Drosophila melanogaster: one gene and its partners. The gene in region 1 interacts genetically with each later gene. Each region holds a gene or a part of one and is shown on either strand. Other genes may lie near its edges. The genes, in order: sktl, PRL-1, Pld and rdgA.

Region 1 (7,918 bases):
AGACTGTCTCAGATACAGAAGTTAATCACTTCGCGATCTGTGGCGTCTCTCTTTTGCGCGCTGACACACAGAAACTTCGCCGGTGACTCACGACATCTGAGAGTGTTGCTTATTGTTTTCTTTTCACAGATAGCTCTTTGAACTCATGCTGCAAATATGTCGCACAAATCGAGCTAAGCTGACTCTCTGTGGATTAGAATATGCGGTTAAATTAACTCTTAGTTTAGTCTACTACTTCTCATTCTCCGCAAGAGCGTTGAATTAAAAAAAAAAAACCCTTTATAACTAAAACTTGTATCAGCAGAGCTTTGAATTTTGGTATGTAGGTCTTTTTTAATCTATTGCATAACTTCTGAAAGTTTGGTGATTATCACGAAGGGCATAACTGAGTTACTATCGGCATACTTGCAGCCATAGGGCTGCATGCAGCGCGTTTACCACGTTATCTACTACTATAGTTTTATGAGCCTTTGGACTAGCTGATTTGAGTACGCCTTAGATAACAGCGATAGTTAAATGCCACTCAAGTTGGCTTGCCCCATTAATCATCAACAGCACACACAAATAGAAACCTATAGAAACCCCATTTGTCAAAATAAATCCAGAGTTCTTTCGACACTGGCCCATTGAACAGTATCGCAATCCATCCACATTGTGCCAGTTCGATAACATTCGACTGTGGGCAAACGAAGTTATGCATAGGTAAGGTTATGAACTCCAGAAACGCTGCGCCATTAGTTCGGTCTATAAATAGCCAGCAAATGCATGTGCCCATAAATTTCACCAGTGCAGCATATCGAATAATGCTCGACTTAATTACACATGGGGGTAGCAATAGCAATGCAGGGGTGCAGACAGCTGGCAGACGACGCGACTCGCAGTGGCACAAATGCACTTAAGTTTTCTTCGCTCATCGCTCTGCTTTTTTTTCGGGGAGGAAGTCGTGGCATACGGCACACATCACTGCCACCGAAAGGAGGGATGTATACTCGTAGTACCTATGTGCGCTATATGGGATTGAACTATGGAACAGGCAGAACCAAACTTGATGTGCATAACTCAAGAAACTGTGTCAAATATCCTTTTTGAAGTGTCGAGAAATACAGTTTAGCTCAGTCTTTAAACGAATGTTATTTTGCTTTCCCAATGTATCTTGACATATATAGTTTGAACATCTTAAGGCGAAAAGGTGCGCAGAACTCAGGTAAATCACGGCATCTGCAACCCTTAGCGAGTGCTCACTGTACGGCAATTGCATTGTAGCTCGCGCCAAAGTCTGGCAGCTGCCGTCTAGATTTCGGGCCTCAGTCTTAGCATCCAAATCTCAACCGGAATCCTTCGCAGACGCAGGACTCATTCGCTCAGTCAATGCTCTCATTGGGCTCTGGGGATAATTGCTGCCAAACGACGTGACATTTCTCCCTGACAATCCTTTGTGCATTCTGCCCGGCATTTCGACTCATTCTTCTCCGTCATCTGTAGCTCAGTTGTAGTTGCAGTCATACTAGTACTTACTATGGATGTTGTTGTTGTTATTGTCACTCCGTGCAAATTCAGGCAGCTCGACAAACAGAATGAAAGACAGACACAATTTATGTTTGTTCGAGCGGTGACGAAGGAAGTGAAGCTACACTGAGAAAAATTAACTTAGTTATATGAGTTTTAGTTTTGGAACTAAGCCAAGAACTTATAGTTCTTAGAAATATTCTAAAGATAAGATCATACTTGCTTGGTCTTGTTTAATTTCACATCTATGTAACAACCAAAATGGTGTTCCTTGCACTTAAGGTGGATACGTTTCTCTCAGTGTCCTTTTATGGCAGCTGCTCCGGCTGAACTGAGCTGAGCTGCGAGGCTCGTGCATTTCGTTAACGTGACAAAAATACATTGATTACATTTTTTTTAGCTGCACTCGACTCGGGGATCTGCGTTTTTGGGCTCTAGGAGCTAGGAGCTGGGATCTGGTAACTGGGAGCTGGAAAACTGGGTACTGGGTACTGGGAACTGGGACCTGGGCGCACGTCCGCACACTTGGCACATTTGTCAGGGCGACGCCGCGATGTAAACATCTTGCACGTAGGATCCGGGGTCCTTTTGCATCCTGGCTGGATGGCACGACAACTAGTTGTAGTTGGAATCGGAGTCCTCGTGCTGCACGGGGTCTTTGAACTGACAAATTACATTGACAACGAATGGGGCGAAATTCCATTCGTGTGCACTCTGAACTCCAACTCCTCTAGCTCCCCAGAACTGTCTCATTTTGTGAGGCTCCACACTGAAAAGTTTGGGGGTCAATGCCATGGCATTTCATATAAACAAAAAGTTAGGCATAACTGTCAGCAAGCAAATAAAATAAACAAATGTCAATAAATGACAATTGATTGTGCTTTTCAAAGTTTTCGGCCCAAACCATTATTAGTCAAATCAGATTGTCTATTTAGTTTACATTGTGTTAATGATTTAAAACTCTCGGTTTGGACACGATTTATTTGTATAGCCATTTGAAAATGGCATTTATTGTCATTTTTTTTTTTTATTGCTACGCGTTGTTAAAATTTCTTGAAAGGTGTCAATAGCAAACAGATGTTAAACGAGATACAGTATTGAATATTGGTTTTATTCTATGAATTTCGATCCTTCATAAGCGAAACATTGTTTTCATTTGTTAGTTTCAGTGCACTTTGTTCATTAGTTGTTTGTGGATTTAATTTGCTTACTTGGCTCTGTGCTTTTGCTTATTGTTTCAGTTAGTTTCGCAATTTGGAAACTATCTCAAATTGGCAATAGTGAAAAGAGCAAACACATCGTGGGCTCCTCTTAATTATTTTCACCGACGAACGGGTGGGCGATCGAACTCTTATGGCTGTAATAATTGGTGCAAAATTGTTCAATTGCCTAATTGCTGTCGATTGCTCATAATTTTTAGTGTAACACTGTGTATTTGTGGCACATTTTCGTTTTATGGCCACGAGCGTTCATGAATGAATGGGCTTTATTTACAGGGCATTTAAAAGTTTCGGGTAATCTTATCACCCAGAAGTGTTCAAACTTGCGCAAGTCATCAAACAAATTTCGAAACGGAAATACCAAAGGGTTGAAATAGTCTAAACGAAAAGATAACTGCCTTAAAATTGCGCCCAAAATTCGCACAAAATCGCAGTAACAATAACAAGCGAACCTAATCAAAAATCCAAAATCTCAGGCAGCTGCGCATGCGTAGCAGATGAAAGAGATAGCGAGAGATCGCACCTTTGAAAATGCTACCGGAACAGCTGGCGCAGAAGAGCGAGAGGGAAGACAGGAGTGAGTGATAAGAAATAGCAACAAAAGCGCATAAACCACCACCAACTACTACAACAACGAACGCGACAAAGCGAACAATGCTCTTCATTATGCCCGTTATTATTAAACAAATAGGGAGAGCGAAAGAGAGAAAGGTGAGAGCGCACCATGTTGATAACACACCCCGTGTAGCTAAAAGTTAGCCAGATTCACAATTAAAGGAGCTAGAAATGCTGATATATGCTCAATTTGATTTATGATCACCTATAAAAACTTGATACTGATAATAGCAGCTAATAATACTTTAATTTTCAGTACCTTAAGACACATAATTCAAAGTATGCACTCAATTAAAACATTGTATTAGATATCCTTAGCTAGAAAGTAGTCAAGCTGCCAGCACTGCCTACCTTACTCACCCAGGTAATTTGACTCCGACTCTCCGGCTTACTGCTCTCCCACCCCGGGAATTAGAAGTCTGAGTCGAAGTCGCCAACTGTAGCCGCTCATTCGATTCCCAGCAGTCGAAGCACGCAGACGCAACCGCTGCGATCGTCGCGAGATATTTGTGTTCGATCATTGTTTTCGTATCGTTCGGGTTAACCACGTTCGTTGAGTGTCGTGTCGACTTGTGTTTACCGTTGTGCAGTGTTAAACTATTTACGCTTTGTCTTGTGGGTGCAGCACCCCCACCACCCAGCCACCCACTACACATACGCACTGTCAAGTTTTGTGGTGCCCAAAAGTAATCAAATGACACGTGCTTGAAATACACATTTTACTATCCATCAGTGGCGGCCGAAACAACAACAAAAGCATAAGCCAAACTTGGGATTACCTCGGCATTGTTTATACAGGAAAGCGGTAAGTTTTGGCCACAATAAACCGTAAAGCACATTCGGAATGCTTTGACCCCAATAAGCTTAACAATAAACACAAATATTCAATACGATTCCGCATACGCCCCTCGTAATTACACATGCCTTAATTCACATAATCACAAACTACAGACATATGTATATATTTATGTACCTCCGCCCATTTATTGAAGTAAATTCCGATGGTTTTTATTTTTGCTCATTCGAGGACCTCGCTAAGCCGCGTTTTATGACTCAGGAGCCTCACAAAGTCAAAGTCGTCAGACCGCAAACTGATTTCGTTCGCTTTTCTCCGAATGTTCTTTATAACGTAGATCCCACAAATGAGTCATCCGTGCGCTTGGGGATACCGGAGTGGATACATAACTGCCTGAGATACGTATGTATCGTATAATTGGGGGAGGCAGTGGGCTAAGGTGACTGATCAGGTTGATGGGGAATGAATGAGCTGGGGGTGCTGGTGACTAAGCCCCCAGCATTGGATAACGCTAATTGGGTTGGGTAAAGAAATGTGTGCACACAGATGTGATAGTCTGCTGGCTAGGAAAGAGTCACCTCTAAGGCAGTTGTGAATGGGTTACATTGAATAACATTCCAGTCAGTCCTCAAAAATATCCAGTTATGTAGCTTGAAATAAAAAACATTTCTAAAAGAAGATTTTTAAGTTTCTTTGAATGTTTTGGTTGGTCTCTTACATTTTAATCAGCTTATGCATTTGAAGAAGTTGGCTTTCGCCACCTCGAATACTTGTTATCTCGACTCATCTGGAAACCTCAGAATATATCAGTGGCACGATTTCAATCTCACCGCATTGTGGTGTTTCGCAGATTTCCCTAATTTCAGTTTGCCCGCGCCTAATTGCAATAATCAAGGGAGCACCGCATAATCTCACTGATCTAGTTCCAGTTTAAGAGCGTTTCTGCGGTCTCGATGGCTCCATTAGAGTGCTAAACACCGGCCATTACGGCGGTCATCAGGAGAGGTGTTATTACCTGGACGTCTGGACGTGGAAACCAGTCGGCACTGGAAGTCACTCACCTGTTGCGGCCAAGAGATCGATATCATTGACAATTGGTGTCGACGGTAGCAGCAGTGGTATATAATGCCAGTTCGATATGTTGCTACCGTTAGATGGGAAATGCCAAAGCAATGATGATTGTCCATTTGAGTGGGATTAACGTTTAATTTGGCTTAGTTTATTGATTTTCCATCGAACAGGTCGGTTAAATGTCAGGGAATGTCGCGAAATGGAACATTTCGTCGATTGCATTTGCTAAACCATTTGCAACTCTTTGTTTTTTGCTCACTCATGTGTCAGTTTGACATTTTGCAACAATGGTCGATTCTATTGAACGGATTATGGCTGCCGCGACTTGAATAATTGCACGGTTTTAATGCGTTCATTCAGTTTTTTACATAATTAAATGATTGTTTAAAACTGATTTATTATTTAATTGTTTGCCACTCGAACGACAACAATTAATTATGCAATGGCGCAAAGATGCGATATAAATAAATAATAATTTCATTATAATCAATGCAACAGCTGCCAGTGGGCGCAAGTGATGCGCGGAAGGGGCGTGGCAAGCAATTAAAATTTATTACTCTTATTTTGCATTTATTCCATTTTAATTTGTCGTTTAAATGTCAAAACTATTAAAATAATTATGCTGGATGCCGGATTAATCAATGCTCTGGCCTTTGTCCAATCGATTTTGATCTGGTTGGGCCGTAACTTTTGGTTAATTAATCGGGGTTACGAGCGGGGAAATTTACCCCATCCACCCCATTCAACTTTCCCCCATTTCACCTTGTGTCCAATTTGTGCGGCTGACCCCAATGAGCCAAGTTCAGTTAACACTTAACCACCCCGCATATTAACTTAATTATCATGATTAACATTTTCTGTGTAATTTCTGTATTTTCGCTGGCCGTTCTCAGTTGAATTTTGCGATGCAATTCCCATTATTCGTACCTTTTAAACTGACCAGAACTTAAATTTGTTATTCAACACGCTTCCCTCGCTTTTTTTCTGTTTTTTTTTTTCTTGATTTGTTTATTATGAAATGCTTTCGATAACGAACCATTATCATATCTTCATGCGATATGGCAAAGAGTTCCGTTGATTTCTTTCTGTTTTCGCAGATTGAAGTGCATAAATTATTTTGTCTCTATTTTTAAATTAATTGGCAGATTGTCGCAGACTTTAGAATTCTATTTGGTCGCAAACTTGTTTGGCGACAACTCTATTAGGCATTTGCATATGAATTTCGACTGCCTTTTGTGCCTAATTAGCCGGCAAAAGTACAACGAACTTCGAAAATTGTCTTATTTTCTTAGTCACGAATTTAATGTACAATACATCAATTTCTACACTATGCAACACACCCAATTAAGTGCAATTTGTGACTTTGTGAGCCTCATTAACTCATCGCATCTCAGCTCAGCTATTTCTCCTCGTGGAAACCGGATTGTTAGCTAAACATTTTTTACATTACTTTGCCTTTGCCTACTAATGAGCAGAATTACTCATGACTGGCCCATGTAGATATAAATATCGATTGAGGGGCTGTTTTTCAATCAATTTAAACGGCGTGCCGTGGCAGGGGGAGGTGGTAATGAGACAAACGAACCACAGAAAAATTCAGTGGTCAAGGGCAGAGGGTCCTGAAATGCCTTCTTCACCGGCTTCGCTGGCTAATCCAATTAGAATTGCGCCGTCGGCTGGGAAGTCGTCTTTGTAGGTGTTCCCTAATTAGATTGGTGTTGTTCGGCCGCAAAGCAATTCCTGTGAAAAAATTGAAATTATTATTTGAGTCTAGATATCCACACATTTCTCTTCCAAATATAGTATGAATCGCACGGCCCGCTTTTCGATCTTAAATCCTAAATCAAGCTGCTTGAAATGTAACGAAGCTTAGGCAAATAGTAATAAAAACTGTTTTTATTGTATGTTTTTCTTAAATAGTTTTAAACTACTAATCCGAACAATTTTCACTTATTTTAACACAAGTAGTTTGCATTGTAACTGACTTTATAGCAGAATTAAAAATTTTTTATAACAAGTGTACGTGGCACTTTACAACACTGCGCTTTGTTGCTGATCAGCAAAGACTCTCTCCGTGGTGGGAAACTTGGAAACTAGCAGAAGGTAAAAAAAAAAAACAATGTAATGAAATAATACCGCAAAATATACCGCGCAGCACAAAATTAACTAACGCCAGCGCAAGCGATAAACGATAACACGCGTAAAAATCTTCTGCGCGAACGACTCATCAACAGTTTTCTCTTGCCGAGAAATATTTGATTTTCGCCTGGTTTTAAAGTTCGCGGAGTGGATACATTGCAGCGGAAGGCTCTCGAAAAATCGGGTTAACTTTTGGCGGACGACGATCGCCGATTGAAGTGGGTGTGGGAAAATGCAAAATGCGGCACTTCGATGAGGAATATCCAAGATTGCCGCACGACGACGTCATCCTCAGTCACAAACACACACGCACACACCACACACAATAAACCAGGTGTGCACGGAGAATTCAAATTCGTTGAGATATTGTTGTAAATTATGAAAGCAATTTATCAAGCGGAAAGTGGAAATCGAAAGAGCTGGATAAAAGGGGAAGCAAAAGGAGGAAGTACGCCACAAACAACAACAGCGACGGCGGCGGAGCGACAGAGAAAGCGCTACAGATAAACGCGCCTTGAGCCGATCAACGAATACACAAAGCGAGCGAAAGAGAGGTGCCGATTGAAAGAAA
Region 2 (8,263 bases), on another chromosome or scaffold:
CAACAACACTTTTTGTTGATGCTATATTTCCCAGTCGGTTTTTACTTGTGACTTATGCAATGTATTTTTTGTTTTGCGTCTTGGCGAAATTGAAAAATCACACAGGCAAATATATATGTAAATATCTATATATACATAGGTATTTCGCTATGCATTTAAGCAAATACAGTGATTAGTTGCTGATTACGACGGGGCGGCTTGTAACCCGTTGATATGGACTCCCGATTAGATATCGACAGGTGTTTGCCGGAAGACACTAATCGATTTTATCCGCGGATCGTAAAGCTTTCTCTCCTATCAGTTAATTCGAATATACTGAGGATTGGTCCTCCACATTCAGATTTGCCAGCGGATAAATTGTATTTACCTATCGTTAATCGCCCGTTATACGGCGAGATAGTATCTCGATTAAATATCGACAAGTGTCGATTCTGAGACGTTGATCGATTACGATTACCACAATAAGTAGACGCGTATTGCTGCGTGATGAGCACTCTCTCATGTTTTGCTATCGACTGGCGATTGTCAACTCTTCGCCGCCCATTTTACGCCACGGAAACGGCCGCTCCGTCCGGCAGTAAGTCTCCATTGCCGGGGAGAACGAAGAGAGAGTCGTGACGCACATCTCTCCAATCGCTCACGCAGAGAGCGAAAAAAAATTATCTACAGTCTGGTGCATATTTAAAGCGCTTTAAAAAGTCTGTTGTGCAAAAACAATAGAGGCAGGAAAAATAGAAACAATTTGCTTGGTTAGTTTTACTTTTCTACTGTTGAACATAATTAGCAGAGTTCAATGGACCATGAAAGGGCGAATTTTGTGCTTACTAAAAATGTTTAAATTTTAAAGCATTTTATTCGTTCTGGTATAGTAGTGACAATATAAGTAGTTCTGATTTAAAATCACGAGGGTATTTATTTTAAAATGTTAAATTGTTTAATTTTAGAAACTAGACAACAAGTTAGTTTGTATTCTGTTCTTTTTAAATATAGATCTTAAAATATTTTTTTCGACTTCGTCTCTGAAATAAGTTTCGAAAATAAACTCTACTAAAATTTTGAATATACCTGTATTTTCGAAGAAACGCAAATCATATTGACATTACCTAACAAACACTTATATTTATGACCAATACAAATTATTTCGCGTTAATGGCTTGGTATTTTAAAGTGCCAAAATGCTTATAGACATATAATCCGTAGGATATTCAAATAACTGTGTGGAAACGCTTTTTAAATCGGGGAATAAATAAATGATTGATAAGATCTTTAGCATATAAAGGTTTTTTTCCCCATCTAGCTACCTGACTTGGAAAGTGTTCAAATACAGCGAAGGAAAGTTTTGCAGTCAGATTATAACTTTTACGGGATGCCAAGGTCAGTCGTTATTTAAGGGCAATAAACAAAGCTAAATGCGGTTTATATTATGCACAGTTAATGAAGGCTACGGCGCACACAAACGTGTAACTTAATATGAAATTAGTCTTACATTTAAACCAGTTGATTATAATCGAGATGTAGGCAAATGGCATGACGACACTAATACCAAATTGCGGCTATATTGTTACTCGCTATATACAAACATACATGCATACATATGTACACATTTGTTCCACTTGAATGCTCCTCGCTACATACACAGATTTTCAAATACATTTTCCAATCAGTTAATACATCATAATGTCTTTAAACGACGAGTTTAATGAAATCAAACTTTTGATTCAAATCAACATAAAGATATTCGTGCAATTAGACAAAACTTCTTAACAGACTATTGTATCTTTGACAAAAAATACTTTTTGTTCTCTCCGAGGTAGCAGATGGTTTTGTCTGTGCGGAAAGTTGATTGGACTTTCCCGAAACAGGAGCAGACGACTTAGACCGAGGGCCAGACAAGAAGGAAACAAAGAACAAGGAACCGATGAAATCTGGAGGTAAGAAAGCAAACACAACTGAATGCCGGTGTGTCTGAGTTTGGATTCGGGGTTCAAAGTACTTCAATTCCAGTTCCCTTTTCTTTTTTTTTTTTTTTGTTTGTCCCCTCTTTCAGTTTTTGTTTAGACTTCGACTGCAATCCTGGCAAACAAGATCGCCCGATTTACGCCAATAATCACAGACTTGCAAAAAATAGTAGTAAAAGGTTGTAAACAAATTGAAAATGACTAACGGACGGGAAATGTGATGAGGGTAACTGCCACTCAAGCCTCAACTTACTAAGCTAAAGTCTGTCCACGGGTGTCAATAAAACCGGAGACGTGCCGAAAAAAAAAGCCAGACATAACGCAGACACTAAGAATACATTAAGTCTTATACACTTATTAAAAAAACAAAAACTAGCTACCTACATGGGGTAGAAAGCTGGTAGACTAAACATTCAATAAAACAGTACACTGTTACCAACTTGGAACTTAAATCATTGGAATCATTGGTATCTTAAATGAATATTGAGAATAATTGTAAATGATTTAGGATCAATAGATATAAATTCATCTTACAATAAATGTATAGTCAAGAAGATTGATATAGATAGATTGATATAGATAGATAGATATAGATAGATACGAGATATAGATAGATATAGATATAGATATAAAGCAAGCAAGAACCTTTTTTGTACTGCCAAACACATGAAAACCAAAACTTTTCTAAGTTTTGTTCACCTTAGATATTCGCGGCACGCTTTCAGATCAGATAAGTATGGGTATTGGAAACCCAAGTCAAATGAAAAGACAGCAAAAAAAAACACAGACCAAGCTCGAGTTATTGATTTTGCGCGACTAGCAAAGGAGGAAGGGCGATGTCCAAGCCCCAGCACCAACACCATCTCCATCTCCATCCATCCGCGATTTCCGTATTTCGCCATAATGGAAATTTTAAGTTTGCCCCGAAGCGTCTCGAGTGCTGCGAACCAGGAGGAGATGAGCAGGAAATGGTGGCCCCACCACGGGGGCAACTAGGATCTCAAACCGCCTTTTTCTAGTTGCCAAGTGGTCGCGCTGTTTTTCGTGACGCACCAGGCGGCGACTTCTCATGCGTCATCAACGACTTTTAATCGGAAAACAGCTGTTGTTGTTTTGTTTTGATAAAATGCAACCAAAACAAAAATAAATAAGCAATCTTGTCTCGTTATTGCAATTATCGAATGCATGCCTTCTCCTGCCACAAATTGCAGGTCCTTCAAGGTTGATTTACAGACAAGGATTACGTACATACATGCATAGTACATCAACAAAAAAGTGCCATTTTCCTGGTTAGTTTTGGGTACTGTGTACCTTAACCAAGGGCAGGCCAAAACTATTGAGGACAAACAGCGCCGCATTTATCGCGCACTATATATAGAATCCGGGGGTGGTCGGTGACATTTTCCCCTCCCATTTTCCACCAATCTACCACCCTCCACCCTCCACTGACGTTTGTAAATCGTATTGCATGCTTTGTTGTTCGCTTTTTGGTCTATTTTTGGATATGACATGTATTGGTGAAATTCTGCACACAAGCGGCCAAAACGTGACAGCAGTAAAAAAAAAAAAAAAAATAATACAGCACAATGATATATAACCGCGAAAAGTAGTCTGAAAGTTCGCAACTCTCATGCTACTTCGATATTTCTAATTAGCGAGTTCTTGACTTCTTCCTAACTAATGTGCGAGTGTATTTAATTAGCTGGCTGTAGAATTTAAGCTGCCGCTACTGTACGAGTATGACCTCAAAAGACCGTGAAATATACATTTATCTACATTCAATTAATTTTGAGAATTTCTATAATTACAACTTGACACATTTATAGATTTGGTTACAGATCACGGAGCAGTGAAAGTTGTAAATTTTAAATAAGTTTAATTTCGGTAATTGTCGAGTAAGCAAATTTATCGCACAACAACAAAAATTAAGAAGATGTTGAAGATGTTCAGAAAGATCCAATAAATTGCACTAAATCAAAATGACCTCAAACAAATTTGCTGGAAGCATTTCAATGAACGAAAGTATTGCCACACATTTCGAGGAATTCAATTGGCTTTCGATTCGATTGTGTGCGTGGGAATATGGAATATTTTAGAACTGGCGGAAAGCAGATAAACCCAGACAACAAAATACAAACAGCTGGAATACAAAATAACCAAGAAGCGTATACGTAATCTCTACACTGAGTTGAGATACATGTAGTAGTACTCTTGATAAGAAAATGGAATTTAATGCAATGCTAGATAGATAGGTATTCAATCTTGAAAAATGTATATCTGTATGATTGAAAGGAACCCTACCAAATTAATCGAGTTTTGTAATCGATGCGTTCAAGTTATGACGTCTTTTCGTATGAGTTTGTTCGGTATATTTTTGATAAAGTCAAACCGGATTTTAAAATTCTTCCCTTGGCTGATACGCTTATCTGCTCGCTCTTTTTTATCACGGATAAATAAAAAGAGAGAATGAAACCGAAAGAGATTCTTTTCTTTCTTTTGTTTGTATTGCCGTGGCCGGGGCACTATCATTGAACTTGTTCAAGGACAAGAGACCCCAAACGGAAATAAAAGGGAGAGAGCACAAGAAATCTGACAAGAGAACCGGTTAAAAAATGGATATCGTTGGGATTTTCAACCACCGGTTGGCGTATAATTGATATTCCTTTGGTGCGTATGGGACAGTTTCAGTTGCCAGGTTCCATTTCTATACCGCTTATACCGCTTTCAATACCAATTGACGCAATTTGCTGATATCGATTAGCAAACAGTGCGATCAAGATAAACACAGGTGGAAAAAATGCGAAAATTCGAGATAACAGCAAATCACAGCCAAACCTTGTTGAGTAACAACTGATTGTAAAATTGAAAGCTATGAACGAAGGCAATCTTTTTGCACTACAACTTTGCTCCGTCCACATTTGTTCAGTATAAAATGCCAACTGATTTGGCTGTTTTGTTCTAAAAAAAACAATTTCTCTCGGCCATGTCTTTTGTTTACTGTTTGCTCTGCCGCTTTGATATGATATAAATCTGCTCGAAATGTCTTCAACAGATTAGATATTAGATTAGAATCTACGTGTATGTACCTAGCAAATGACGTATGAAGATGATAAAAACTGCCAAAAAAAATAAGAGAAATAAACTTTAACTGGTGCAGTGCAAAATAGTTTTGGTCCCGTCCTAGTTCCGTTCGGATGGTAAAACTGGGTCAGCTGACATTTATTTTCAACTGGCGAAGGCAGTTAACCAGGTAACTGGGTCGAATGAAAGTAAAATGCGTGAAGTTACCCATTTATTGAAGTATATGATTGTTGTGTATGATAACAAATGGGACATTACATTACTTTCCTTAACGTTTTTTATGCAAGCACAGCAGAATTTGCAATTCGATTAATTTGATTGCGAAGAAAAGAATATTATTCATAGCAATTACACAGATTTGTTGGTATTTTGAGAAGAATACATTTAAAAAGTTCACATTCATATTTATAAAAAACGTAAACACAATTAGTTTATAACATATTCTAGTTTTACAAGATGACAATTGTTTATAGTTTTTGCACAGACAAATAAAAATGTAACTGGTTGATATATACTAAAAAAAAATTTAAACAAATTCCAGAAACTATTTCTAATGCCAACATGTTTTTTAAGACTATTTTTCGAATAAAACAAACAAAATCCAGTTAGAAATTGTTTAAACGAAAAAAATTGAATGTAAATGCCAACGCACGCACACAAGCACACATACTTTGTGGCTCAGTAGTTGTGCGAGTGTTCGTTGACGTTCGAAACAATTTATGCAACAAAAATGTATTATTTAAAAACTTGCGGCTGTAGCCGATCCCCTGCCGCACTTACCACAATTGCCATACACATTTGAGTATAACTTTTGAAGCTTTTTCGTTGCTTTTCGTGCACGAGAAAATTGAATTCACGTCCACACGCACACACAGACGCACCGCGAGACTCTCACCGACACGAATTCCACGAATGCAATTGGCTGGTGTGTGTTGCCTTTTACGACACAACTATTGCTCTTATTGCAACTGTAAATTGATTGTATCTTTAGCTTAAGTGTTTTTTATTGAATAGGATTGTTAAACTTTGGTTTTTCAGCGACATTAACGCAAAATTCATCTGCAGCTTAACCTCAAATTTCTTTGTGTCTGTCACGCACACACACACACAAACACAGTCAGCACGGGGCGGAACCAATGGTATAAGATGAATCTATCAATTTGACATGAATTAATCGGGCGAAAATAATATCTGTAGTTTCCAGCACGGATTGCACAATTTTTTCTACCGATTTCCAAGAGCAAAGTACTTGTAATCGAAGTAGGCGTTGCGAACAATTCGCTCGTTTGTGTTGGTAGACACGGATGGTGATTATATTCGATAATCTCGAACACTCGATAGAGCCGATAGTATCGAGTGCAATTAAGTGTTAGATAAACATCGATTGCGGGCAGAATCGATACTTTTTTGTAATAATTTAATTACCTATTTTGCAATTGTCTTTTAAAAACAGTTTTTTTTATTTTAAATGTAAGATGTGATTTTAAAGGAAGTTGTACAATATATATACATATATATTTATTTATAAACCGACATAAAATATATAATATTTTCAATATGTCACATACTTTCTTTTCTTATTCATCCAATAAGTCGTCTTATTTTGATTCTTGGTCTGTCCTTCCGAGAATATTCCAATTAAAATTATTCTCTATTGAAAAGAACTACCCTACTATTTACATTCGTAGTATCGCAACAGCAAGCGGCGATCTGAATTAGTCATCTTATCTCTTTCCGACAGAAGTGACGATCAATAGCCCAACGATTTTAAACGCTTTACTTCGAAGAACCTTAAATCGCCAATTTATCCAGAGGGGAATGTCCAAGCGCAAGGCCGAGGACACACAATCCGACAAAATGGCAACGGCCGAGAAAGTAGCACAGGTAATAAGCAACAGCCATAGAAAATAAACAAAAATAGTTTACAAACAATAACAACTATTGTCTGGACAGAACGATTACACCATTGGCCTGGTGGATCCCGTTAAGGATTACCAAAAGCTTATCGAAACACGCGTGCAGGTAGACGAAATCGTGGATGATGATGTCACCAAGGAGAATTTCGATCGAACGGCTGCAGCGGCGCGTGACGTCATCTGGCGGCTGTTATTCGACGAGGCCGGTACCTCGCAATCGAACACAGAGAAGGCCAGCCAATTGCTGGAGGAATACCGTGGTGACGCCTGCTTCTACGACCCGACGCCGTACAACGAATGGATTGTCAAGCTGAGGGATGAGGTTCTAAAGAAGGAACTCCTCGACTTTTGGCGCGATGTGCTGGTGAAGAAGCAACTCGGTCCCTGTTGGTCACGCGACAGTGATCTCTTTGACAGCGACGACACCCCGCCATTGGAGTTCTATGCCCATGCCGGTTGTACCGCTCCATTTGCAGCCAGCTTAAAGGTGCGCGCAGCACTCGAGGAGCAGGCTTCGCTGGATCAGGATGGGCCAGCGACGCCTACAACTCCGGGTGAACTGAGTGCCGATGATGCCGCCGCTCTGTCTGGCGAATTTGAGGCCACCCTGACCAAGGAAAATCCGCTCGAGGAATACCGAACTCTAATGAAGCGCTTTGTTCTGACCAAAATCATCGTTCCGGACAGCGTTCACCAGGCCAGCGTGAAGAAGATAGCGGCAGCCGCCAGGGAGATAATCTGGAAGCTGCTCTTCGATGGCACACCCTCAGCGGAGGATCAAAACAAGGCCGCCGAGCTGCTGCAGGAGTACAAGGGTGATGCTGGTTTCTATGGGCCCGACGACTACAACAGTTGGATTTTCAATCTGAGGGATGAGGTTCTCACCAAAGAGCTTCTCGACTTTTGGCGCGACAAGATGGTGAAAATGGAACTTGGTCCCAGTTGCGCCCGCGATTCCGACTATTACGACAACGAGGATCCGCTGCCATTCGAGTTTTACGAAAAGGCTGGTTGCAAGGCTCCCTTTGAAGGACCTGTAAATGATGATTAGTAGTGCATCTTTCATGACTGAAGGATTGTTTCCTTATGTACTAAAACACCTATTCTGGTCGTAATCTCTGAAGGCACACACAGTAAAGCATTTCAATATCTGAATTATGTTTCGAAATGTTAGAAATTGTTTAAAAATGAATAAAATGATAAGTATTTTATAACTGTTCTCAAAAATAGTGGTCCTTTTTATTATCTCGATCAGTAACAAATTATTTGTTCTCTTCATATTTCTTCAATAGCTTAAAGCATTTAAAA
Region 3 (8,323 bases), about 15 Mb from region 1:
TTCTACGGACAGACGGACGGACACGGTCAGATCGCTTCAGCTGGTGATCCCAATCAAGAACATATGTAAAAAACGCTCCCGTTTTAACGTATTTAGTATAACCTCTTACTCATCTTTCCTATATGAATATGATTGGATTTCACTCACAGATTGGGGTTTAGCAGATGTGTAGTGACGCTACGCTCCGTATCGACGATCCGAACATGAATCTCACGGCCCGGGATGAAAACCTTGCGCTGGAACGAGTTGAACTTGACGCTCGGCCCGTATATGCTAGTAAATGGTATTTCGTGTCTCAGGACTACACTGTTGTTTTCCTCGTCGTCGAACTCCTCCTCATCATCGTCCGTCTCCTTGCGCTCCACCAGCACCGGCTTGTCGCCCACGTTGGATAGAATGGTCACAGAATCAGGAAAAGCGAGGGTCTCATCGTACTCAGAATCGACTAGAGAGAACTGAAATTCTGGCAGGCAGCGGTTATGATGCTCGACAACCGCTTCGTCTGTGCAGTCCCGGAACACTCCCTCTCCCTCTTCATTGTTGGAGTTCTCCTCCGACGCGTCCTCTTCCCCGCTGCCATGTTCTTCGTCCGAGTTGGTAAGTGCGTAGGGCGGCAAGGCGCCTCCAACGGTGCCGGCATCTGCCATCGCCTCGTACTGGGCAAAGTAGTAGGAACTGTCTAAATCATCGTAGCCTCTGTTAACGTAGCCGCCATAGTGCGCCGGCCGGTAAACATCGTCAGTGGGGTGTTCAACTGCAAGATGACAGATAAAAGGAATGGGCGTAAGGAAGACAATAAATTTTAACAGATTTAACCTTAAACTAGAAGTATTGGTGAGTCCCATGACGATCACAATTATATTTCAAACCCATGATACTTGCGGCATGTGTTATTTGTGTAAAATCAAAAAGAGTTGCAAATGTAAAGTTCCCTCTGTGATTTTACCTAACATAAAATAGATTAAATGGCTAGGTGACCTTTAGTTGTCAGTTTCCCAGCCATGCTAAGTACATGTGTAAGTTCTATTTCATGTTGGGTAAGATTGGCACAACATTTAAAAATACTGGTAAACATAAATTAAAAACATTTTTTATATAACTTGAAGTATATATTTTTCTAGTCTAATAATAAAATTTAAATTGTTTGATGTTCGAAAAGCCATGAATGTAAATATAACATTTTTGAGATATGTCCCCCGGCTGAACGGCCTGTGTTGTAACCATTAAATGGTAATAATTAGCAAGTGCTATCTACATTCGAAACAGAAGCTCGCTCAAGGTCAGAGCTCACGACATGTGGTGTAGTTAAGTTTAATGCATTATGGTCGGCTGAACTTGACATAGGAACCCTGCTCGAACCTTGAAAACATTTAAAGCTAAATACACACGACGCACCTCCTTCGCCCGTAAGTATAGCATTTTCCTTAGCTCAGTGCTACTGGCTGAGAACGCAAATCAGAGGAGAATATTAGGTATCGTACGCATCTTTTGGAGATACAGTTTTGCCATATACCTGTCCTAATCTCTACTGTTCTGTTTTCCCAAAATACTTGAGCAATCAGCTTCTAGCTGATTGACATTTAGATAGCAAGCCCAAATAAAACGGCACAACAAATAGATTAGGCCATACTGCACAGTAGGTAGGCCAACCAATGACGGTTAAGTGAGTTTATGGATGCGGCACGGCTTTGCAAAAGTGCACAGGTTCAGTTATCGACGATAGTAATAAACAGAATAAATCAGTACTTAGTCAAGTGCTTTGATTAGCAGACAATAACAGGTGTCCTGTCCTATTCGCCTATTCACAGAGTAACTTTATTTCTGTCCGCTGAGTACCGCGTATAGAAATATTTAAAATTCAAAAATCGAAAATGGTTTTTTAAAAAAAAAAGGTAGCGACACCTGAAAATTTTTGTTAAGATACTGTTTCAGAAGTTGTTGGTTTAATTTATCAAACAATTGAACGAGTCATAACTTACGATTGCTCCTTATCACTTGTGATAATTAAAATAAACTGGAACGCCGAGTGCAAAGAATTTGATAATGGCCGTCAATGATCAATGACATTGGGGCACTTCCATGATACCCTATCATAATAAGTGCCATCAAAGTTTTATTACCACACTTTTACATACACAGGCTAGCTTATGGGCAAGTTCAACTGGCAGGCATAAATTCTTGGTATTGAATTCGTTATTATATGGGTAGTGAAAATAACGAGTGTTGGCATATGCCTTATCACGAAGCTCTTTTTGCTATCAGCTTCAAGTCACCAAACAAAAACTTCTGGAGGCAAAAACAAAAACTTCTTTAATGCTCGAGTTCCATGATTTGTGATAAAAGTGAAAAAATAAAAAAATTTAAGTCCATCAAAAATGTATTTGATTAGACGAATCGTTAAAGAGAATTGTGGATATAATTAAACCTTGGACCTATTATTCAATCATCGGCCGCCGTTTTCAGAAATTTAAGGCGGTATAATAAGTGTAACACCGTACTCAATAAAAGAACCATAATTTCTTAACACCTTTTCACTTTCAAAGCGATTTGCCGAACTCATTAGTTTTGGCTCATTGGTTTTGGCAAGCAAATTAACTTAAAAAAAACTTGACACTTTTATCACTAACAGATAAGACGAATAGAAGTAACCCCATTTTGTTTCAAGAATATACAATTTTTCGTTGAAAAAACTAAACTCCAACCACAATAATACGTTTTTATGGTGGCGAATAAAGCTGTGGTATCCCATTCCTATTGATAGGGCATTGGTGTGAAAAAAAACTAGTTCTAAATTGCCGAATTAAATGTTACTTAAACATTTTTGATTTAACTGAAAAATTCTGTTATATGCATTGTATTTTTTTTTGCAGGAATGTTAATGCTTTCCATTTAATGCCCGTTATCAAAATGTCCTCAGACCGAGGGCGTTCATTTTGAATCGCCTTTGTTTAGCGGGTTTTGTCAGTGGCCGGTCTACTGAAAAGGTTATTAAACCCACCGATCGCTTGCTTCACCTGACCTACACACAATTGCAAAGAAATCGAAACTTCCTGTTGCAATGATCGAGCATGAGTACAAATGTAAATCAGGCTCGATATATTTTTAACAATATCGGCATGTATCGTTACTTGCAGCGCGTCATGCATTTTAAAATTGATTATGATTCATTTACTAATTGCACCGTTAGGCCGAGCCCAACACGCAATTTGATGGAAGCAATAAGTGGGTAAAGGCTTATATAATCCAAAGGAAACGGGTATTGTTCGGCTAATTTATTATTTAGGCAATGAAATCGTTATCAGTTCTTGGTTCCCTACACTACTACACTTATTTAAGTTCGACTGCACACTCATTGTTATAAATCGCCCCAAATTGAAACAATGAAAACTTGGTGCAGAATGATTTTTCACTTTCGCATACCATAACACCTACCGCCAACCAGTTCTAAATGTTGAAATATCTTAGCAAACATGATCACTCTTATCTCATCTCACGATGACGCACATATTTCATTGCCGCTCTACGAGAACCAAGTAATCTATGCAAATGAAAATATCTTTATCTTCAGATCTAAAAATTACCCATGCTGGCCATCAGCTGTGAGATGCTGCGGCGATGACGTCGGACCTGCAAATGTGGCAAGTTGGCGTTCGATGACGCCTGCCGGGGCAGTTGCAGTTGCTGGGCCTCATGGTTCTTGCTGGTTTTGGTATCCAAGCACGTGGCCATCATTGTTGTGTGCGCTTTACGCGGGCTATTTAATGGGCTCTATTTTATTTTTGGCAATCGGTTTTTGGCTTTATAGATAGGAAGCTTTTGTTGTCGGCTCCAGTTTTTTGCATTTCTCAGTCGCATCGACAGTTCGCCTACGTGAAAAATGTCCGTTCTGCGGCCTGCGGAGGCTGTTTAAACCACAAATTATAAATACCGCGTTTGTGTATAATGGACTTATTGCCGTGGAGGTAAGTAGAGGAAGGAAGGATACTTTGCGCCACGAAAATAATCATTTAAATTAATTTTGCCTTCCAAGTTTCATTCAGTCACAGCGTGTATACTTTTCTTTTTTTATATCCCTTGCATTGAAAAATAATTAATTAAATTTTTATCATGGCATATCGTTATCTTTGCGTGAACACAAAACCAAGTTTTGCAAATATAACTGAATGTTTCGCGTGCTCTTTATATTCGTTGGTATTTGGCTTTTGGCGCTTCCAGCTCATTAAAGGTTTGCACAATGGCCAACTAACACACGCACAAATTTTTTGTTTTTCTGCTTTCGCATATTTTACTTTTTTCACTCGGCTACATGGCTTCGCGAGATGGTGCTTTATAACTTGTATCTTTGCATCTCACAGATGCTTATCAAGTTATCAAGTTGGAGTGCGTCTGAAAGATTGTCACGTTTGCATGCGATATGCAGCACTTTGTTTACTTTTCGAGCCACCGACTAACGGAAGTTGCAGAACCGAAAAAAGCGCGACGTCGCATTGAATTCGTCAAAGAGAGTAATGCCACGCTATGTGAAAAAAACCAAACTGAAGACACCTCACACTCACACTTTGAGCCCCCGGCAAAAAGCTCGCCTTACCGCCACGATCTGCGATCCACGAGAAACGTTGCGACAACTTGGCCGTCACTCCGGTTAATAATATTAACTAAACCTCGCGACGCAGCCAAAAGCTTAGGTCGCCGAGCTCAAAACGGTTAACGGGTAACGGTTACGGCGAGAGCGTCAATGCCGCAAGTTGGTAATGGAGAGGGAGTTTTCCAGAGCACAGCTGCGAACTTCAAAACAGCTGGCAAAGCTTTTCATAATCTCCAAGATATTGAAATGCGATAGCCCGAAAACCCTTCGACTGTTCTAAGGTATTATGCAAATAAAAACATAATGGGCTTCTACGGCAAGGTCAGCCACAATCCATAAGAACAAGTTCTCTGCCGAGGCATTGGCACAAACTCTACAAGCTTTCCAAAGCTTTCTGCGCGGTTCACACACCTTTTAAAAATCGCTGATCGAGTACAGGCCTATTGTCGGACCCGCAACAATGGTCGAGGAGTCGATGAGTCACAACGGCACTTTGGGTGTGCATGTAGCTCTGCTTAGTATCTATTGCGGCTATCTTATCGGCAACACTAGACTTGGGCACAATCGCTGTAATCAGAACTCATTATTTGTACGACCCCAATGAAGTGCGCAGGATAAATAACCGAATTACAATTAGCATTCGATTAGATTGTCCCACGCGGGGCAACTGAATTTCAATAACTTAAATTATTGACCCCTAGTTCGGAACTAAGTAAAAATAAAATCAAAAGTATGTTTTAGAGACTATGTCCAAGTTAGTGACTCGGTAAAAACATTTGACGATCGCATCATGCCAAATACCATACCAAACTTTAGTGACGAAAAATTATTTTCGGACATTTAATAAAAATCCCCTTTCATCCCAAAAAAAACATGAGCCTATCGAACAATAACTTTATTCTAAATATTTTCAAATTATAGTTAGCTGTTGAGAAATGAGACTAAGCTTTCGAAGGGATAGTGCTCCGGTAGCGGTTTGGATAAGGTAGTTGACTCGTTCGATATTATTTAAACAATTCAGAAATTAGTACATTGTTATCTTCCATAAATCTAATCTAAGAAATATACTGTCCTAATATAAGTTTTCCTTCTGTCACTCAAAGAAATTTTTAAGTAATTAAGTTTTGGTGCTGACTTCTATTTGGTCATTGAATTTCGTATTGGGTCTGCTAACTTTGAAGTAGTGATAGCTTTTATTACTAGTGTAGTGAATTCTTTGTAAACTTGTTATTTAGTATATAATATAATATATTATAATAGTTGCCCAAGACGAAAAAAGAACCTGTTTGTCACTTCCAAAATATAACAGATAGAAAGTTGCCAAGCCCCCCTAATGCCTATAGCCGCCTAAAACTTGCACATCCTTGCACTTTTAAAAAATGTTTTCAAATTTTTTTTTATATTTTTATTACACTTGTAAATTTTTATCGATTTACCAAAAAACTTTTTGCCACGCCCATACTTTCAAATTTGTTTAAATATTTTCTCAATCAATTCACCATTTCCACTAACTGAGTAACGGGTATCTGACTGTCAGAACATAAGTCGAATATAGCATTTTTGTTGTACCCGTTACTCGTAGAGTAAAAGGGTATACTAGATTCGTTAAAAAGTATGTAACAGACAAAACGTTTTCGACCATATAAAGTATATTATTTATTTATTATTATAAAGTATATATATTCTTGATCAGAACCAATAGCCGAGTTGATCTGGCCATGTCAGTCTGTCCGTATGAACACCACCATCTCAGGAACCATTATAGCTAGAGAGTTGAGATTAGATAAAACGATTCTAGAGGCACGCCCACAACCGCCCAAAACTGACACACCTTTTGAAAATGTTTTAATATTTTTTTTTTTGATCGTTGTGGGAAACCACATTCTAATTCTTTAGGTCTATGCGTTGCCTATTAGATTTTACTAATATCACTATTAGCTTGGTCACACTTGTGAAATATACATAAATAGTGATAAGATAAGAAATGTGCTTCTATAATCCGCTCCTGTCATTAAAGACAGAGTATTGGTTTAGAGGTTCATATTCCAAGAAATTAAAATCAGGGCCAAAAATGGTTTGCAGTGTGTCGACGTTACATTGGGTGTGGCTACGTTTGGAAATAAGCATACGTGTGGAAAGTCTTTAGGATCTGTATGCTGAATCCTTTATAGGTACAGAGATCCCGAAGTTCAAATGGATATACGAACGGACATAATCGACTCAATTAATAATCTTGATCAAGAATTTATATACTTTCCTTGGTCGAAAAGACTTTGTTTTACATGTTGGATACTTTTAAAAGAATCTAGTATACCCTTTAACTGATCTAGGGATGTGGGACTAAACAAGAATAAGTAGCAACATATGTTCATACGTATCCATAATATCACCTGACAACATCCTTATCTAAAAGCATATTTAATCTAAAATTGATTAGCAACTGGTACCTAATGATTATTAAAATCCGAAGCTTCGTTGGAGAACATTTTCCAGCACATGGTTCTGGGTGACTTCTAAAGTAAAAACTTATTTTAGTGTCCTTGTGTCTGATGATTTGGGGAAAAATTTTAACTTGCCTTTTGCCATATATTGAAATTTTAAACTGCCTGAACCCACAATTTGTTTAAATGATATTGTAATAATATATGTTAAACCATTTTTGGACACAAAATTCACAAGTTTTTACCACGTTTCACACATTTTATTTGTGCAACTTTTATCCATCTTCTTTTTTCCAAAGCAGGCCAACTATTTTATAAATATTGGTATAAAATAAATCAATCAATGGTATAAAATTTATCAATTTAAATAAAGTTAAAAATACGCACTTTAATGTGTTTTTATGAATTTAAAGCACTCACATGCTTGCGGCTACTGCTGAAATAGGTTTAGCTCTTAATCTGATGCCAGAAGTTGTGGCTTAACTTCTCCGTCGTGGACTCCAAACTGGCACTGAAAGCTGGAGACCTCAGCAGTGGGTTAAGTGTATATATGTACATTTATACATATGTATTACTTCATTTAAATGCTTTCGTATGGCAGACTTAACACTTTGATAATTGGTGAAATAAGATCAAATCAATTGAGGCGCCACATGAACACGTTTCGTGAGCACACAAGAAACAATTTAAAAATATTAAAATGTTGGTCAATGGCACACACACTTCTATCGCGGCATTTTTATTATTGGTGTCGAGCAAGACCCCTTCTGGGCAAATCTTTGCTCAAATCTTTGCTTGTCACGGTTTTTGTTTGCCGAGAGAGCTCCGACCAGCGTCGCTATAAGTCAAATTCGAAACTGATCAAAACGCCAAGCGAACGTGGAAATGAGAACGATCAGCAGAGATTTCTCGCTGGAAGCGCGATGTATAGGGAGAGAGCGGAGAGTGAAAGTTCATTGAGCTTAGCACTCGTTCTTTCTTTCCTCAGATCAGGCTAAACTGCATTTGATTTATTTTTCAATTAACAATTACTTCGAACCTTTCACTTAAATTTAAATTTTACTTCAAAATTCAAAAGTTTCTGTTCGCGTTCATCTTACTCCACGCCTAGCAAAACGCACTTGACTGACCAAACTGACTGACATTTTGAGCAGGAGCTTTTGCCTGGAAAGCTTAAACGAGACAGTCCAAACACATACACATACATGCAGATACGTACGCTTCGATCAAACAGCTGATCCGAGAACTTTAATGCGACGCTGTCAACTAAGCCGATGAAACTCAAAAATTTATCAGT
Region 4 (8,334 bases), on another chromosome or scaffold:
CACTTAAAATGCCATCAGGTAGGACTTCATTCCAACGCTGTCGTTCTGATATTTTCCATCATAATATTTATTTAGCCAAATGCCCCCCAAAGCCATGTTATCAATACAACCCACCTAAACTAGCTCAAAGAAGCTGGGGTCGGAAAAATCGAATTTTTGAAATTTGAAAGCTGGAATCGTTTGCCCATTTTTTGCCCATGTTTGCCCACCAATTAGTTTTTTTTGCCCACGTCCAGTTTTTGAGATATGAATTTTCGAAAAAGTTCGAAAATTTTCGAAAATCAAAAATTTCGCTTTTTTCAAAAATTTTTTTTTTAAATCGCAATAACATCGTTTGCCCACGTTTGCCCACCCTTTAGAATTTTGAAAAAATTTATACTTTAGAAAATATAAGGCTTTTAAGTTTACCTCGGTCTAATCAGAGAGTAAATCGTTTGCCCATCTCTTAAAACCAAATATTATCAACAAAAAACGTTTGCCCAACCATTATTATTAGTTTTTATCGTTTGCCCACCCTTTAAAAAACCTTTAACAAAAATTTTTTTTCGATTGCCCACATTTAAAATACAACCAATTTCCTTAGCCCACCTCTTTAAAATAAAAATTTCCAATAAAAAACGTTTGCCCACCATTTAAAACTAAATAATTTCGATTGCCCACCTTTTAAAACTAAATAATTTCGTTTGCCCACCCTTTAAAATTTGTTTTTTTCGTTTGCCCACTCTTAAAACTAAATAATTTCGATTGCCCACCTTTTAAAACTAAATAATTTCGTTTGCCCATCCTTTAAAATTCATTTTTAACGTTTGCCCACCCTTTAAAAATAAATTATTTCGTTTGCCCACCCTTTAAAATTTGTTTTTTTCGTTTGCCCACTCTTAAAACTAAATAATTTCGATTGCCCACCTTTTAAAACTAAATAATTTCGTTTGCCCATCCTTTAAAATTCATTTTTAACGTTTGCCCACCCTTTAAAAATAAATTATTTCGTTTGCCCACCCTTTAAAATTTGTTTTTTTCGTTTGCCCACTCTTAAAACTAAATAATTTCGATTGCCCACCTTTTAAAACTAAATAATTTCGTTTGCCCATCCTTTAAAATTCATTTTTAACGTTTGCCCACCCTTTAAAAATAAATTATTTCGTTTGCCCATCCTTTAAAATTCATTTTTAACGTTTGCCCACCCTTTAAAATTTGTTTTTTTCGTTTGCCCACCTCTTAAAAATGGTTTTTTCGATTTTTCACCTATTAAAAATAAATTTGTACATATGTATGTAATAATTGTAAGATGTGGCGTCAAAAGCACAGTTACTTACAAAAGAACAGTTATTTACATATTTACATACATTTTCAATATATCCATAGTGTTAATCATTCATGAATTGTAACATCAATTTTTCTTAATCATTGTTTCATTTCATGGAAAATATTTTATTCCAGAATTTTCTTGAGCTTGGAGGGTGTTGATAAACATACATACATTTTTTTGCATATATATTATATTGCAATATAAAATATTTTCCATGAAATGAAACAATGATTAAGAAAAATTGATGTTACAATTCATGAATGATTAACACTATGGATATATTGAAAATGTATGTAAATATGTAAATAACTGTTCTTTTGTAAGTAACTGTGCTTTTGACGCCACATCTTACAATTATTACATACATATGTACAAATTTATTTTTAATAGGTGAAAAATCGAAAAAACCATTTTTAAGAGGTGGGCAAACGAAAAAAACAAATTTTAAAGGGTGGGCAAACGAAATTATTTAGTTTTAAAAGGTGGGCAATCGAAATTATTTAGTTTTAAATGGTGGGCAAACGTTTTTTATTGGAAATTTTTATTTTAAAGAGGTGGGCTAAGGAAATTGGTTGTATTTTAAATGTGGGCAATCGAAAAAAAATTTTTGTTAAAGGTTTTTTAAAGGGTGGGCAAACGATAAAAACTAATAATAATGGTTGGGCAAACGTTTTTTGTTGATAATATTTGGTTTTAAGAGATGGGCAAACGATTTACTCTCTGATTAGACCGAGGTAAACTTAAAAGCCTTATATTTTCTAAAGTATAAATTTTTTCAAAATTCTAAAGGGTGGGCAAACGTGGGCAAACGATGTTATTGCGATTTAAAAAAAAAAATTTTGAAAAAAGCGAAATTTTTGATTTTCGAAAATTTTCGAACTTTTTCGAAAATTCATATCTCAAAAACTGGACGTGGGCAAAAAAACTAATTGGTGGGCAAACATGGGCAAAAAATGGGCAAACGATTCCAGCTTTCAAATTTCAAAAATTCGATTTTTCCGACCCCAGCTTCTTTGAGCTACCTAAACTGCCACACACAACAATGATTGATTGTGGAAATTTTTGTGGGGGTAAAAAATGGTGAATAAATTACCACACTGGTTGGTAATTGGTTTGGTTTGCAATGCAATTCCATTCGATATTGAAATTCCCAAAAATTGTTCAAATGGCAATTTCTATTAATTAACACGGTGCTTTTGGCAAAGGAAACACCCTTACAAATGGATATACAATCTGCAATCAAAATGCGATGCATACGTGTTTCCCCCTCGTTGCTGTCAAATAGCCCGCGGTATCTTTCGACCATTTTCATTCTCTTTTCTGTTTTTTTTTTTTTCTTCTTTTTTTTGTATTTTGTTTTCAATTTTTATGTGTATTTTTATTGGATTTTATATGCGAACCCAACCCCTGGGTCACGAATAAAAAAAAAGCGACAAGAAATGAAAATTGAATATTTTATGTGAAGCGAAGCAAACAAGAGCAAACAAAAAATTGTGGATCAACAATTGAAACATCGCGTTTTTATATGTACGCAAGACAAATGGGTAGCAATTTCTTTATTTCAGAAACAAACAAAGTCGCCTAAAACAAAAATCTTTAAACCATTTCAAAGCGCACACATTTATTATTACAAATATGTGCAGGCTTCATTCATGTTTATACTTTGGTGATTTAAAATGTAAATTCTTCGTATTGATTAAAAAAAAAATATATAAATTTAAAGTTTCCTTAGAGAAATTTAAATTGTATATTTACACTTGGTTACCGCGACGAAGTGCCTTCGTCGTTGAATGCAAACTTGAGGACAACAAACGAGCGGAAGCACAAACACAAATGCCACGTATACGCCACGTTGTCTGACATTTTCCCCTGTTACCGGGGAAATGCGAAATCAAAGATTGCCAACCGCACAGAGTGCCGCCTTTCGCCATTACGTTATTTTCGCCATTTCGCGCTCTTATGTCAGAGAAAAGCCGGTCACGCGCCAATACAAGAGCTGCAACATCCTCCAGCATGCAGTTCCTTAAACGCACCGATTAGCAAAAGGACACGTACACGAAGGATGCGTGTGCGGATGTCGTTGCGGATGCCAGTGCGGATGCGAATGTGGCAACAAGTTCGGCTAACGAGACTGGCTGGCCGACAAGAGCACACCCAAATCCTTAACCGGAGTGGCCTAAAAAAAACCTAAACCGCTCGCTTTGGCCAGCAATTTTCAATGAATGGCATCGTTTAATACAATTGCCCACACGGCGTATGCGTAACGAGTTTGTTTCGCCGTGTTTTTGCCGAATTTCGAACCGAAATTGCAGACGATTTTTCATTAAATCATCTTATTGACACACAGACATTCGAAAGTAGGGGGATACTCTGAGACAATGAGAATGTTGGTAATTGAATTTATACAGAATGAAAAGCAAAGGGCATTCCACGGAATTTTATTCAAAATTACACATTGTTGCACACATATTTGTGGAGCCTAAAAAGAGCTCGAGCTTTAAATAATTTTTAAAAAATTACTGCTTTAAACTAAGATATATTAATATATTCAAGCAATTCGAGTCAACTATTTTACATCTGTGGAATTTTGAAACTCTTTGTAAACTATAAAATCCGATTATATTTTATGATATTCCAAAAAAACTCATCAAATTCAACACAACAAGCTGAGAACCGAATTCTTGATAATTTCCATGCGTGATTCTATTAACTGAAGCATACAATACAATATTCTGTGGAGCTTTTCCTAAAACTACGAATATTTGCCAAAAATTGTAGCTGAAACTTTAAATAAATCTGGGAATCCCCATTTGAAGACTAAATATAAAAACATTTCCGAAAAATCACAATACAAACACGCTGCTCACAATCACACACGGCAAATAAACTCTCACATCACGAAATTAATCAACAAATTTTCCAAGGAAATTTTTCAATGAATTTCAATAAGTATATTCATATTTACCGTTTCGGTTTGCCGCTTTAGTTTTTCTTTACAATGGAACGCACTTTTCAGTCGTTCGAATCAAGTCAAAATTTCGTGCACATTTTTGCGTGCTTTTACACGTTAACAGTTAGGATTCAAAAAGCACAAAAACTAGATCTTAGTCTTACATAGTTTTAAGTTTTAAGTTTGTATCGTAGCTTATATTTCAAGTATTGAATAAATACTTTGGAATATCTTTGAATATTTTCGAATATTTGTACAAGTTAATATTGGTTTAGCACAACACTTAGAAGCACAATCAAAAAAATAGTTACTTTATATTTAGATATTGTAAGTTTTTCAGTATGTTTATGTTTTTCTTATGGTATGCGATGTTTTTGTTGTGTTTTGGGCGATGTTGGTGTTTTTTTTTAAGAACTTGGTAGTTCCAGAGAGTTTTGGTATTTTGCTTTGAAATGTTTGGCCTGCTTGGGCTGTTCTGCTATTTAAATGAGTTATTTATTTCTAGAACAACGCGCCTCGTCGACCGTTCAAATGAAACTGATGCGAAGGCGACGCATTGCCAGGAATATAAAGCGACCGGGAGCGAGAGGGCGCTATTGAGCATAAGCGCGGGAGCGAGCGAGAGGCCAGCAATCGGCCGGCAACTTCGGCTGTGGTCGGCAAAAGCCGAAGTACTATAAACACCTGTAAGCAGCCTTCGATGCCGGCGAGAGAGCGAGAGGGAGAGAGGGAGGGAGGGAGAGAGAGAGAGCGAGAGCGAGCAAGCGAGCGAGTGGCCGTATCGTTCTCACTCCCTCACCCTTTGCCGCCCAACGCCCACATACTCCCGCTCGCCCCGTCTCTGTCTCACACCCTCTCTCGCTCTCGCTCTCTCTCTTTCGCGCTCGCATTCGGAAGCGGAAGGAAACTCAACAGTTGGCACATTATTGAGTGGAGAGAGGAGCGGAGAAAGTAGAGCGGAGAAATGGCGAGAACTGCGGAGAAAGTGCGGGCGGCAGCGCTACTCTTTGTTTTTGTTGTCGCTGTTTGTTGCCATCAAATTTATGGCAATCATTTGTGCGGTGTTTTAAGTTGGTCCAACACAAGTGCCCAAACTATCGATAATTATCGAGAGAGAGAGAGAGAGAGAGAGAGTGATGGCGTGTGAGGGCGATGGAGGAAGTAAGGGATTAGAATAATCCAAACGATTATCGTAATGATATTGTTAGCTATTAGCAATCAGATTGTTTGCAATATCTAAAACAATTTAAATAAACGATTTTATGGCATTAATTATCGGTATAATCGGCAATATTGTTATCGATCAATATCATTCCTAACAACAGGAAGAAAGCTGCTTATATTTTTTTGAAAAATATTAAATCGAAGAAATCTTCAAGGAAATCATTGGTCTCATGTTCGGTGTCGACCTCGTCGAGTAACTTCTTCAATCTTCGTAATAGATCCTTGTCCTTTTCGAGAGTATCCAACAGTTGTTCAGCATCGCTTTTTAATAAGCCCAATTTACGTAGTAAACGTATCACACGCCTTTCAAATGGCGTAAAGGACTGACGTTTGAATCGGTTGTATCTCTGCGGCAGCTTCAAGGATATCTTGTGTTGTACAAATTCCACAGAATTCTCTTTATGTTTAGTAGTCGTTAGCTGCTCCTTAGATATCCCGTAGAATTCCTTATCACGACGTTCAAGGCTTAATCCAAAAGCGGCCAAAAAGACCAAGAGCCCAAAGATATGCAAGTAATGCATTTTTAAAAACTATGCACGGCCACGTTGTCCAACTTCTACTTATATACACTTTCAGTAGTGCACTTATCAGCAAAAAACAAATTAACTCAAACTCAATTAGAGATAGCTTCACACTGAGTTATGTCAATGCCGTGACTTTAGTTTAAAAATTTGCCCAAGAAGAGTCAAGAACATGACCTAACTTACTTAACACTGCGAGTCGCCCATTTCCTGCTCATATATTATTTAAATTGAAGAAATTATTACAAAACCAAAGTAGCATTGCGTTTTGCGTAACTCAAATAAGGGCAGTCAAACGAAAATTACCAACCGACTTTTATATTTTCCATAAATTTTATACTACTCGAGATGGATTGTGACAATTCGAGTTTGGAGGAGAAGCGAGAACGCGTTGACAATGCAATCCTAACCGCCATGGAGGATCTGGATCGGGATTATCTGCGCAAATTGCAGATCGAGATGCACAGATGTGCGACCGCCTGTTGTGCGGATGCGGACGCGAATGCGGAGGCGGTGGAGCGGTGCATCGATCGCTGCCAAATCCGTTTGACCCGATCACGCTGCTTCGTACAGCAGGGTATATCCGATTTTGAGAATCGCCTAGAGAAGTGCATCCAGCAGTGCCGCCTCAATGGATCCGATTATAGCTTGGAACGTTGCACCAGCAACTGCGTGGATAGCCATGTGGGATTGTTGCCCGAAATGTTTAGGGCTATGCGAGATACCCTGGAGAAAGGTGTTTAGCAAAACAGAACACTTATGGTTTGATTTAATTAAAATTATATTCGTTGGATTTAAACAAAAATGTCTTAATTTATATTATTTTATATTATATTTATTATTCAAAAATTCATTTAAAAAATATCATGGACTGTGAACCACCGATTTCCTTAAATGCCATCAAACACCTCTTAATTGCTAAATAGCGACTTAATTAATGCCAAACGGCAATTAGTAATCTAACACCAGTCGCCAATCGGCCGAGGAAATGTTTATTGATTTATTTACTAATTTAATCGATTATGCTGCAATTTTTGGTGACCCAAAAACATGCTTTTTATAAAGCAATTACGAGACCTCATTCCATCGAAGGATAATGGCCCAAAAGCAATACAGTCCACAAATTATTCATACGAACATGTTTCGTATGGTCTGTGATTTATTCAGCAACATAGAGAAAAACGCGCCGCATGTAAATGCTACCAATTGATTTTTTTTTTTTTTTTTTTTTTTTTCCATTACGATGATGTTTTTATTATTTGATCAACGCACTGTTACCCATGCGGCAACTTAATTTGATCTGCTTAAATTATTTTATTTTACAATGTGTCTTGGTTACTTAAGACTAACAGATTTTTAATCCTAAAAATGATAGGGAGAATTATAATAGTTGATATAACATAGTAATTATTATTTATTTGATTATTCTAATGAATTTTAAAACTAAGACTTTCTAGGTCAAAACCAGGTTAGGGAGGTCATGAGGGTGGTGTCGCTTGAGTCTTCTTTTGACTCTAGTCCGAGGGTCAGCATTGACCACAGCTGCAGTTCCTAGCTTCCTTGCTAGGCTGTTGGGGTGTACTCCAATTGATACGACAATAGCAATAATCTCCTCGTCACGGGCAATGTGGCATACTTTCAGGCGAGGCACACCAAAGTTTGGGCGCCAAAAACGGCGCACAATTGCAGCAGAGGAAGGAAACGGCAAGGAGAAACAAGGAGGTCTTCAAATTGGTTCGAAGCAAGGCAACGAAGTAGACATTATTTGAAAAAGGCATCTACGACCTGTCCGTCAATGAGTGCGCTGCAATTACCGTGGAAATTGGTCAGCGTTGCGTCTGCCTGCCTGAGCAATCGATAACCAATTGTGAAAACTGTACACTTATCGAAATAATCGATTTTCATAGTTTAAGACAAAAGAAACGAAATAGTGAACTGTTCATTCAATTGACGGGACCATTTAGTTACTTAAATGAGGAAGTAATTAGGTCAGCCATATTTGATCTATATTTCATGTCTATCGACAAGCAAATATCAAACGTATCGATACTACCGATAATCAGCTTTGTATTGCAATTCTATGTGGAGTTTCCCCAGTTAAAGTTTCATCAGTCCAAGGGGAACATAAAGTCAGGACAACGGACTGTGACTGTGCTATCCACCCATCGACAATTTCCGATGACCAAATATACCCACTGCCGCCCCCTGAACTGAACTGAACTGAACTGAACTGAGCTGAGCTGAGCTGAACTCTCCTGTCCTGTCCATCAAGGGGCAATCAGACTCGAGTGTACGGAGGTGTATTTGACAGATATAGGTGTGCAGACAAA

What was found.
Region 2: of sktl (region 1) and PRL-1, changing one suppresses a phenotype caused by changing the other (phenotypic suppression), as found in Drosophila melanogaster (one study listed by BioGRID).
Region 3: of sktl (region 1) and Pld, changing one suppresses a phenotype caused by changing the other (phenotypic suppression), as found in Drosophila melanogaster (one study listed by BioGRID).
Region 4: of sktl (region 1) and rdgA, changing one enhances a phenotype caused by changing the other (phenotypic enhancement), as found in Drosophila melanogaster (one study listed by BioGRID).

Annotation. Positions count from the first base shown.
Region 1 is NT_033778.4:20,831,898-20,839,815, reverse strand, and holds the start of sktl (skittles), read left to right. Parts: upstream 1-3,787; 5' UTR 3,788-4,146; intron 4,147-7,397; exon of another isoform or gene 7,398-7,918. UniProt on the Drosophila melanogaster protein: Catalyzes the phosphorylation of phosphatidylinositol 4-phosphate (PtdIns[4]P) to form phosphatidylinositol 4,5-bisphosphate (PtdIns[4,5]P(2)), a lipid second messenger that regulates several cellular processes such as signal transduction, vesicle trafficking, actin cytoskeleton dynamics, cell adhesion, and cell motility.
Region 2 is NT_033779.5:16,251,257-16,259,519, forward strand, and holds the start of PRL-1 (PRL-1 phosphatase), read right to left. Parts: upstream 6,351-8,263; 5' UTR 5,820-6,350; intron 4,900-5,819; exon of another isoform or gene 4,794-4,899; intron 533-4,793; exon of another isoform or gene 503-532; coding exon of another isoform or gene 374-502; exon of another isoform or gene 1-373. Other genes in the region: CG46309 (uncharacterized protein), read right to left, coding at 374-502; EndoGI (endonuclease G inhibitor), read left to right, coding at 6,858-6,923, 6,993-8,006. UniProt on the Drosophila melanogaster protein: Probable phosphatase. Inhibits growth possibly by negatively regulating Src64B-induced growth. Regulates central nervous system circuit formation and stabilization of synapse-dense terminal arbors.
Region 3 is NT_033778.4:6,241,843-6,250,165, reverse strand, and holds the start of Pld (phospholipase D), read right to left. Parts: upstream 4,655-8,323; 5' UTR 4,589-4,654; intron 3,903-4,588; 5' UTR 3,733-3,902; coding exon 3,582-3,732; intron 755-3,581; coding exon 148-754; intron 1-147.
Region 4 is NC_004354.4:8,921,637-8,929,970, reverse strand, and holds the start of rdgA (retinal degeneration A), read right to left. Parts: upstream 4,788-8,334; 5' UTR 4,275-4,787; intron 1-4,274. Other genes in the region: CG43255 (uncharacterized protein), read right to left, coding at 5,597-6,004; CG12661 (uncharacterized protein), read left to right, coding at 6,353-6,748. UniProt on the Drosophila melanogaster protein: Required for the maintenance of phospholipid turnover within the photoreceptor.